Oryctolagus cuniculus: one gene and its partner. The protein of the gene in region 1 purifies or fractionates together with the protein of each later gene. This does not show direct contact. Links are inferred from orthologs where the notes say so. Each region holds a gene or a part of one and is shown on either strand. Other genes may lie near its edges. The genes, in order: SLAMF1 and PTPN11.

Region 1 (4,411 bases):
ACTTGTTCATTAGTGACACTGACAAATCAGATGACAGTTTTTGAATACTAAGAAAATATTTTCCCTGTTTTTTTTTTTTTTTACATCATCTTCAACATAAGGGCTATAGTCACGGCACATGTTTCCCTGTCACTTTTCACATCTAGACAGTATTATAATAAATGAAAGCTCCGGCTTATATTGTTTACTGATTTCCATGGTATAAATCCCCATGTCTGATTCCAGGCTCCCAACATGATGTCGTTGAATGAAGAGCTGGGAAGAGAGTCGCAGCAGCATCCATGACCTAGTAACTTACTTCCACCACAAAGAGACACTAGCTTTAACAATAGTAACTTCATAAAATAATTAGTAAGTATTGAGTAATTAGAGGGTTTTATTCCCTCCATTTTAAACATAATTTATTCAGTGTAAGTTTGTGTAAATACATGTATCTTAATAATGGCCGTGTTTATCAATCAGCTCACAGTTTCCTGAAAATATAATAATTGGCTTTCATGAGTTGATCTGTACTGGCTCTATCGCAAGATAGAGTGTCGTGCTGTGGGAACCATGGTTGGCTACTGGGTGAAGAAGGAAGGGGAACGGTGAGAATAAAGAGCAAGTTCCCACATATAACCAATTCTTATCACCCTGATCCCCTTGGAGAGGCCAATAGGAGAGTGTCTTTGACCTTTAAGGTGGGTTCCAATTATGCTGACCTGGCCTTCCAAAGCCTCCTTGAGAGCACTGGTGGTAACAGCGTCTTCCCGTGTTCTATTCTCATAGCTCAACTCAGAACAGCACAGGGTCTCCTCCACCAATTCTAGCCATTTCTCTTCAATGAAAAGCCACACATTCCAAAATAAAGGTAACTCCCCAAAGCATGGCACAGGGCTCACTATATTCCAGCACATTGTATCCACAGGGAAACTGGATTTCTGCCAAGAAATCCACACCCCCACCCCCCACCCCACCTCTCTGTGCCTGTGGCACCAGGGCTGGAGTGCAGGCAGAAGTGTTCTCTGAGATTATAGGGCAAATGCATAGGAAGAGTTCTATCAGTTCAATAAAATTCAGTCATCTAAGTTGAGCTTGGAGCTGGCACATTTGAGGCTTGGCTTGACGAAACTCCCTCTTTTCTTTGCACTCTTAGAAGAGTTGTCAGAGGGAACTGCTCAGAGAAGTCATGACATCCATTTCCTGGAGACAGCGAAGGAGAGTAGGAAGGGAGCCCATTTCAACCCCACTCGGGGGTTTGGCCGGGATGACTACACAACCCTTTTCCCGGCTCCAGTAATGTAAGTGCCTGACTCGTACGTGTTTCTTGAGAACAAAAAGTGACTTCAGGCCTGAAGAGAGATGAGCAATCCTCGAGACACAGGCAGAAAAAGTCCCAAGTGAGACAGGAAGCTAGTTCAGGAACCTGCTGGCTGCTGATGTGTAAACTAGACAGCAGAGGCAGCACTGCTGACACGCAGCCCGCTTCTGCTGCCGTGCCTGCGAGCGGCCGCCGGGCTCCCGGCCAGGCCCCCTTCCCTCTCCTCGCTGGCTGATGGATACCAAGGGGTACTTCTCCTGGAGCCTCCTGCTGGTCCTGTCCCTGGCTTTTGGACTGAGCTACGTAGCGGGTGAGTGTTCTTCTGTTTAGGGGTTTGAGTCCCACAGCTAGCTGCTGGGGACCAGCATAGCCTTGTGGATGGAGAGAAGGCATAGGGGCTGGGGACTGTGGGTCAGCTGCCTCTTCCTTAGGGACTGGCTGTGAGTTTTGACTGCCTCTTTAAGGAGGAAGGACCATTATGAGTTCCTGGGCCCTTGGGTTCCCTGCCTTAACCTCATCAACCCTAGTTTCCAAGGAAACCAGGAGCTCCTAGCCAAAGGCATCTGTCACACTCAAAACCAGCCTCTCATCACAAGAGGTTCTCACCGGGGTCCTATCCAAGCGGGTTGATTTTGCATGACTACCCTTCGGCAAGACCCAGGCTTTGGGGGACAGATCCCTAGGATATGATTTGTCTGAATGCTTACATATACAAGCACACAAACCAGAATCTGGCCCAACAAAAAGCAAGGGCTACAGTGAGAAGAAAGGGTAAGAAGTGAAAACCCCAGGCCTTTGGTTGAGAACAAAAACAGTGGCCTCAGTGTGGTCATACTGGTGGCTACTTTCTTGGAAGAGAAGCTTCCAAAGCAACAGAAGGGGGTAATATTGGGATTTCTGAACCCAAGGCTGGTTACAGTATGTGGGAAATGCAAATTGAAAGCCCTCAGGGTCAGAGTGGCTTCAGCAGTAGAGCCAGATGGCAGCTGAAACTTTGGAGCTGGGCTTGTCTGCCTCTCAAGGCAAACTATTTTTTTCTGCTTAGTAGTTTCAGGGCTTGAGATTAAAAAAAAAAAATGCCAAACAAGAAAATAGACATTAGGCTGTTGGCATGAGGAGGAGAAGGATCTCCTGCCTACACCCCTGCGACTTAAGTTAGACTTTGGGAGGCAACCTGGAATAGAGGAGGCATTAGAGAAAGGGGCAGGGGGAAACCCTGAGGCCCAGGGTGTTTTTGGGGTTTTCAAGACCACAGATCCATCATAGACTTTGGCAGGAAAAGCCCCGGGATCTATGAGGGATGCAGGGAAGCCGTGTGTGGGATCTACCTCGTGCCAGTCTCCCAGGTAAAGAGGCCTTTCCATGGCCTCACTCTCTTGCAGAATCAACAAAATCAGAGTTCTTACTTGTGGGATCTAGAAAAGGGACAACTGAACACAGGGCTCAGAAGGCCACACTGGACCACTTAGAGTGATCACAGGGAGAGCCAAGCTTCCCTTGTTGTACCTCATTTGTGACTTAGGTTTTTGGCATGCTTGTGTGTGACTGTAAGGAATGATGGATTGTCCTAGCGGTTGGATTTTCTGTCTCCATGCTTATTTGAATGGTCAAGTCAGTTACACTGGTCAGTCCAGCTCAAGGTATTTCTCATACAGCTTACAGCGGCTCTGGAGGTAGTTGGTGAGGGAGAAATGGCCCAGCCCCAGAAGGCGTGTCTGCTCAATTGGCTGCTGCTCCTTCACTTGTGTTCCATCTTCTGAAATGTATACAAAATTTTTTCAGTCTTTCTCTTCAAATATGCACCCTTTTGTGAAACCCCAATAAAACCCAGACGGAAACACTTTGCAAATGGGACAGGTCAGTCATGACAGATTTACCCAACCAAGGTTTGATTCTTGTAAAATCAGCAACACTCTCCTTTCCATCTCTGCTCAGCTCAACTTCCAATTCCCAGTCAAAATCATAAAAGCCTAAAAATTCACATGTCCCCTTCCCAGCTCCCACCAAGGAAATTTTTCTTAGAAGATTTTATTTTTAGAGCAGGTTTAGGTTGACAGCAAATGTAGCAGAAGGCAGAGGTTTCCTAAAACCCTCTGCCCCACACAGACAGAGCCTCTTCTGTTATCCATACCTCCTACTATGGTGGTACATTTGTTAAACTTGATAAACCCAAAAAAGATTTTTTCCTTTTTCCATGCAGGACTTCCTCATCCTCTTCACATACAGGGGCTAAGAGGTGAGAAGCAAGCATACAGTTCTAGCCTTGACCTGACCTTGTGTGTTTAATGGTCCATTGTATTCCAGGATGTTGATCTAGGTGCTTGTAGTTCCCAAAAGCTTTCCTACTGTGACATCTAAACTAACTCCAGGACTGGAGTGGAAATCAGAACACCAGGACATTTTGGTTTTATCCATAGATGGACTTTGGGTGATATCTTTTAAGCAGCTATCTATTAAGAAAACATGATATGGTAAGCATTGTACAAAGTGTGGAGAAAGCAAATAGAATGATCACAGCCACTGCCTAGCCCCTGGCACAGTTGTTTGTATGTGAAAGTGCATCCAGAAATGTTTGTTGAAAGAAGAATGTTAGTACACATTTCATATTTGCTATGTACCGGGCACTGTTCTAAGTGCTTTGTGTGTATCTGTCATTTACGTCTCACACCAATGCTATGAGATGTATTATCATTATTACCATTACAAATTTATAAAAAAGGGAGGAGAGGTATGGAGTAATTTAACAGTTTCTCCATGCTCATACAACCTGACACCGGAGATCTCAATGAATGAAACTGGAGAACATTATGCCTGGAAAGCGGGGATGATGCTGAAATTTGCATCCAGCTCTCATGGTATAAGTTAGAATATGCGTTCTATAATTGAACTGTGTGAGTTGGATTGAATTACACGGAAGTATAGCATTCTCAAATGGTGAGAAATGTTGATAAAAATTATAGATTGTGGAGAGCATTTAAGAAATATTTTATCTAGAATTTGGAAAGTGGGTAGAGATTTTTTTCACCATGCCAGTTTTCACTTGATTTTTTAAGCTAACCTGTTTATTATAAGAATATAATGTTCGTCTATAAAACTTTAACAATATGTGAA
Region 2 (3,810 bases), on another chromosome or scaffold:
CTTCTGGTCTCCCATGGGGTGCAGGGCCCAAGCACTTGGGCCATCCTCCACTGCACTCCCGGGCCACAGCAGAGAGCTAGCCTGGAAGAGGGGCAACCGGGACAGAATCCAGCGCCCTGACCAGGACTAGAACCTGGGGTGCTGGTGCCACAGGCGGAGGATTAGCCTATTGAGCTGTGGCGCCGGCCCAGCACCTGCTTTTCTTCTTTGAGCCCTTCCTTCCTTATATTTTTATCTATTTATTTTCATTTTGTTTCAAAGGCAGAGAGAGTAAGAGAGAGTGAGTGTGTGTGTGTGAGGGAGAGAAGTCCTCCATCCCCATTTGACGCCACAAATGCCTGCAACAGTCAAGGCTGGGTCATGCTAAAGCCAGGAACCCGGAACTCAAGTCCGGGTCTCTCACATGGGTGGCAGAGCCCAAGGACTTGAGCTGTAATCTACTGCCTCCCAGCATCAGCCTTCTTGTGTTAGCAGGAAGCTGAATTTCCAGGAAGCAGAGTAGCCAGGGCTGGCACCCAGCTCTGACAGGGGCTGCGCTTGTCCCAGGTCGTGAGTTAACTGTTGAGCCACACGAAGAAGCCAGACGTGCCATTTCCCTGTTAGACTGTTTGCTGCCAGCCTAGGCTTTTGTTGGGAGCTCACGGAGGTTAACTGTCTTTTCTCTGGTCCCTTCCAGAGTAAATGTGTCAAATACTGGCCCGATGAGTATGCTCTAAAAGAATACGGTGTCATGCGTGTTAGGAACGTCAAAGAAAGTGCCGCTCATGACTATACCTTAAGAGAACTTAAACTTTCGAAGGTCGGACAAGTAAGTATATTGTCGTATTTTAGAGGCCGGGGCTCGTGGTGTGCAGTGGTCCAGGGTCCTGCAGCTACGCTTGTGTGCGTGCACTCCTGCCTGGCTTCACACATTGATTAAGTAGCCGTTGTTGGGATACCTTCTGTGTGCCAAGCACAGTCAGGCACTCCTGGTGCATGTGAACGAGACAGGCATGGCTGTGCCCTCCCAGTGCCTGGGGAGAAAGGACATTTAGAGTAAATTGAGCTCCCTGAGTTCAGTCTGTAGGGGCCCAGGGTGGTTGGTGTGTTCCTGAGTGACTGGGGCCTTGAGATGGAGTCCGTGGGGCAGGTCTCTCTCAGAGCTGATGTTCCAGGGTGGCCCCTAAACCAGGCAGCTCCACTGTCAGGGAGTGAGAGACCTGCCCCCAGAGTGGCTGCATGTCCACGCCCTGCACCTTGGAAAACGGTCAACAAGGTCTCTGCCCTAATTCTTCCTTCCTGGGCAGGGTGGAGCTTATGTGATGTTGCATGGCAGTGCTTTAGAGAAAATATAAAATTCTGTACAAAATAGAAACCACATTACCAGGATTCAGGAGAAACCAGCAGTCTTCCATCAGCACCTGCACCCAGGGTGCCAAACTCCTGGGCCAGTGTGCTACTGCAAAGGAGCTACGCGGGGAGGTGGCGGGGGGTGTGGGGGGTGTCCTGACAGCTACTCAGAAACCCGTGGTGATGAGAAGATGGGGCATTTGTCAACAGAACCGAAGATAAGCGTCTCCGGCACCTCGGTCTCTCATTTCTGCTTGGCAGCTACCTTTGTAATTGTCGCTTGCCTTGGGTTGTCCCCAGATATGCAGGGACTGGGTAGCCATGACTAGTGCCACTGCAGTGACCTGGGCTGGGCTGAGCACAGACATAATCCCCCTTGTCTCCTGCAGTCTCGGGGCCTTCGCTGTCTCTGTTTGCGATCCCTGTCCTCAGATCAGCCCTCGGGTGCTGGCCAGTGGCAGTGTGCCGCTGAGCTGTCCGTCCCCACAGTGGTATAGAGAGGCGGCGAGAGAGAGGTGATTCTTCACATTTTGCACATGGAGACATTGAGGCTCAGAGCTGCCCAAGGGCTGGAGTGAGTGTGAATATCTGGGGTTTGAGCCTAAACCTCCCCACCCGACTCCCAAAGTCTGTCTGCTTGGCTTCTTGGCACGGGAGCGCCCTGGAGACTCAAGTGGGCCTTTAGGTGGCGACTGAGCGCCGCTGGGCCCGCCAGCACCGGTGACTTCCGTAGCAGGTGGGAAAGCTCAGAACCGGGCGGCTCCTCCACCCCTTGATTTATTTAATTCGGTTCTGGTTTTTCTTGGCTCTACTCCAGGGGAATACGGAGAGAACGGTCTGGCAATACCACTTTCGGACCTGGCCGGACCACGGCGTGCCCAGCGACCCCGGGGGCGTGCTGGACTTCCTGGAGGAGGTCCACCACAAGCAGGAGAGCATCATGGACGCCGGCCCGGTCGTGGTTCACTGCAGGTGACAGCCCCTGCCCCTCCTGCCGCAGCCTGTGCCTGCCCCCCAGGGCTGCTTTCACCGGCCATCCCTGGCAGTTTACCTGTGCTTAAGGCCTGAACAGGCTGCAGTAGGGATGCTCGCTTCCTACAGACCCTGCAGGACTGCGGGGTCGGGCTGGTGGGCGGGCTGGACACAGCCCTTGTTCTCACCGACGCCCCGTCTAGTGCTTCTGACTACGTTTTCTTTTGAAATCCAGTAATTTAGGGTCCATCTCTTTGTGATTCTGTTCTCTTCCGCTGAGGAAGTAAGAGATGAAGGGTGTTCACCGAGTTAGTGGAAAATGCATGTTCTAAAATGCTGTGTGTAGATTTCACAATTTTTCTTTGCACCCAAGGAAACTTATCTTTTAGCTCCACTTCCCACAAACTTTTTGATGTCCCCTCACGTATTTTCCCCGACCCTGTCCTTGTGCTTATTTGCTTCAAAAGATTCCAACTGCTTCGTGCCGAGGCCTTTGATGGAAGCCGAGCCCTGCACCAGAATGTGCTGGCTGCTGGTATCCAAGTCTGCGCTTCGTGATTGTACTTGGGGAAGTCTGATTTCCTAATCTCATTTGTGTGTTGGACAAGTAGATGTGTGAGAGGACTTACTTGTTCTGTTTTTTAAAAAACTGCCATTTATTGTCCTAACCTCTGAATTAAGTGCTTTTCCTACATTATTATTTTTTAAAAAAAATTATTTATTTGAGAGGCAGAGTTACAGAGTAGCAGAGGCGGAGAGAGAGAGATCTTGCATCTGCTGGTTCACTCCCCAAATGGTTGCAAGGGCGGGAGTTGCGCTGATCTGAAGCCAGGAGCCAGGAACTTCTTCCTCGTCTCCCACATGGGTGCAGGGGCCCAAGGACTTGGACCATCTTCCAGGCCACAGCAGAGAGCTGGATTGGAAGTGGAGCAGCCGGGACTCGAACTGGCACCCATATGGGATGCCGGCACTGCAGGCTCAGTGCTACCTGCTACGCCACAGCGCCGGCCCCCCTCCATTATTATGTCTTATCCTCACCGTAGTCTGTGAAGCATTGCTGTTGTCCCCATTGCACAGGAGGGGACACTGCAGGGCTTGCCTCAGGCACACGGTACTGGAGAAGTTGGGCTTTAAGCCCTGGTTGGCTGATGGCAAAGCTCTGTGTTCGTTGCTAATATATCTTCAGATATAAACATACTATGTTATAAGTACTCCCAAGAGCAGATATTGTTTCTGTTAATATTAATAGCTTGGTTTTTGGGTATAAAACTCCCGTGAGTGATTCCACTCTCCCTGCGTCTTGTCCTTCTGCCCACAGTGCTGGAATCGGCCGGACAGGGACGTTTATTGTGATTGATATCCTTATTGACATCATCAGAGAAAAAGGTAGGTCTCCCGGAGGGCCAGAAGCTGCAGCTCCGGCTGTTAGTTCCTGGAAGGAAGGCGCTGGGGAAGGGAATTCGAATGTGAAAGCGTCTCACGGAAACGGGCTGGCACTTCTGCTTTCAG

What was found.
Region 2: the proteins of SLAMF1 (region 1) and PTPN11 purify together in Homo sapiens (affinity purification with western blotting; 3 studies listed by BioGRID and IntAct, with this or other methods). This does not show direct contact. The link is inferred for Oryctolagus cuniculus from reciprocal best matches to the Homo sapiens genes SLAMF1 and PTPN11.

What each region holds. Positions count from the first base shown.
Region 1 is NC_091438.1:38,256,141-38,260,551, forward strand, and holds the start of SLAMF1 (signaling lymphocytic activation molecule), read left to right. Parts: upstream 1-1,391; 5' UTR 1,392-1,534; coding exon 1,535-1,610; intron 1,611-4,411.
Region 2 is NC_091452.1:9,792,469-9,796,278, forward strand, and holds part of PTPN11 (tyrosine-protein phosphatase non-receptor type 11), read left to right. Parts: intron 1-676; coding exon 677-808; intron 809-2,134; coding exon 2,135-2,301; intron 2,302-3,619; coding exon 3,620-3,687; intron 3,688-3,810. UniProt on the Homo sapiens protein: Acts downstream of various receptor and cytoplasmic protein tyrosine kinases to participate in the signal transduction from the cell surface to the nucleus. Positively regulates MAPK signal transduction pathway. Dephosphorylates GAB1, ARHGAP35 and EGFR.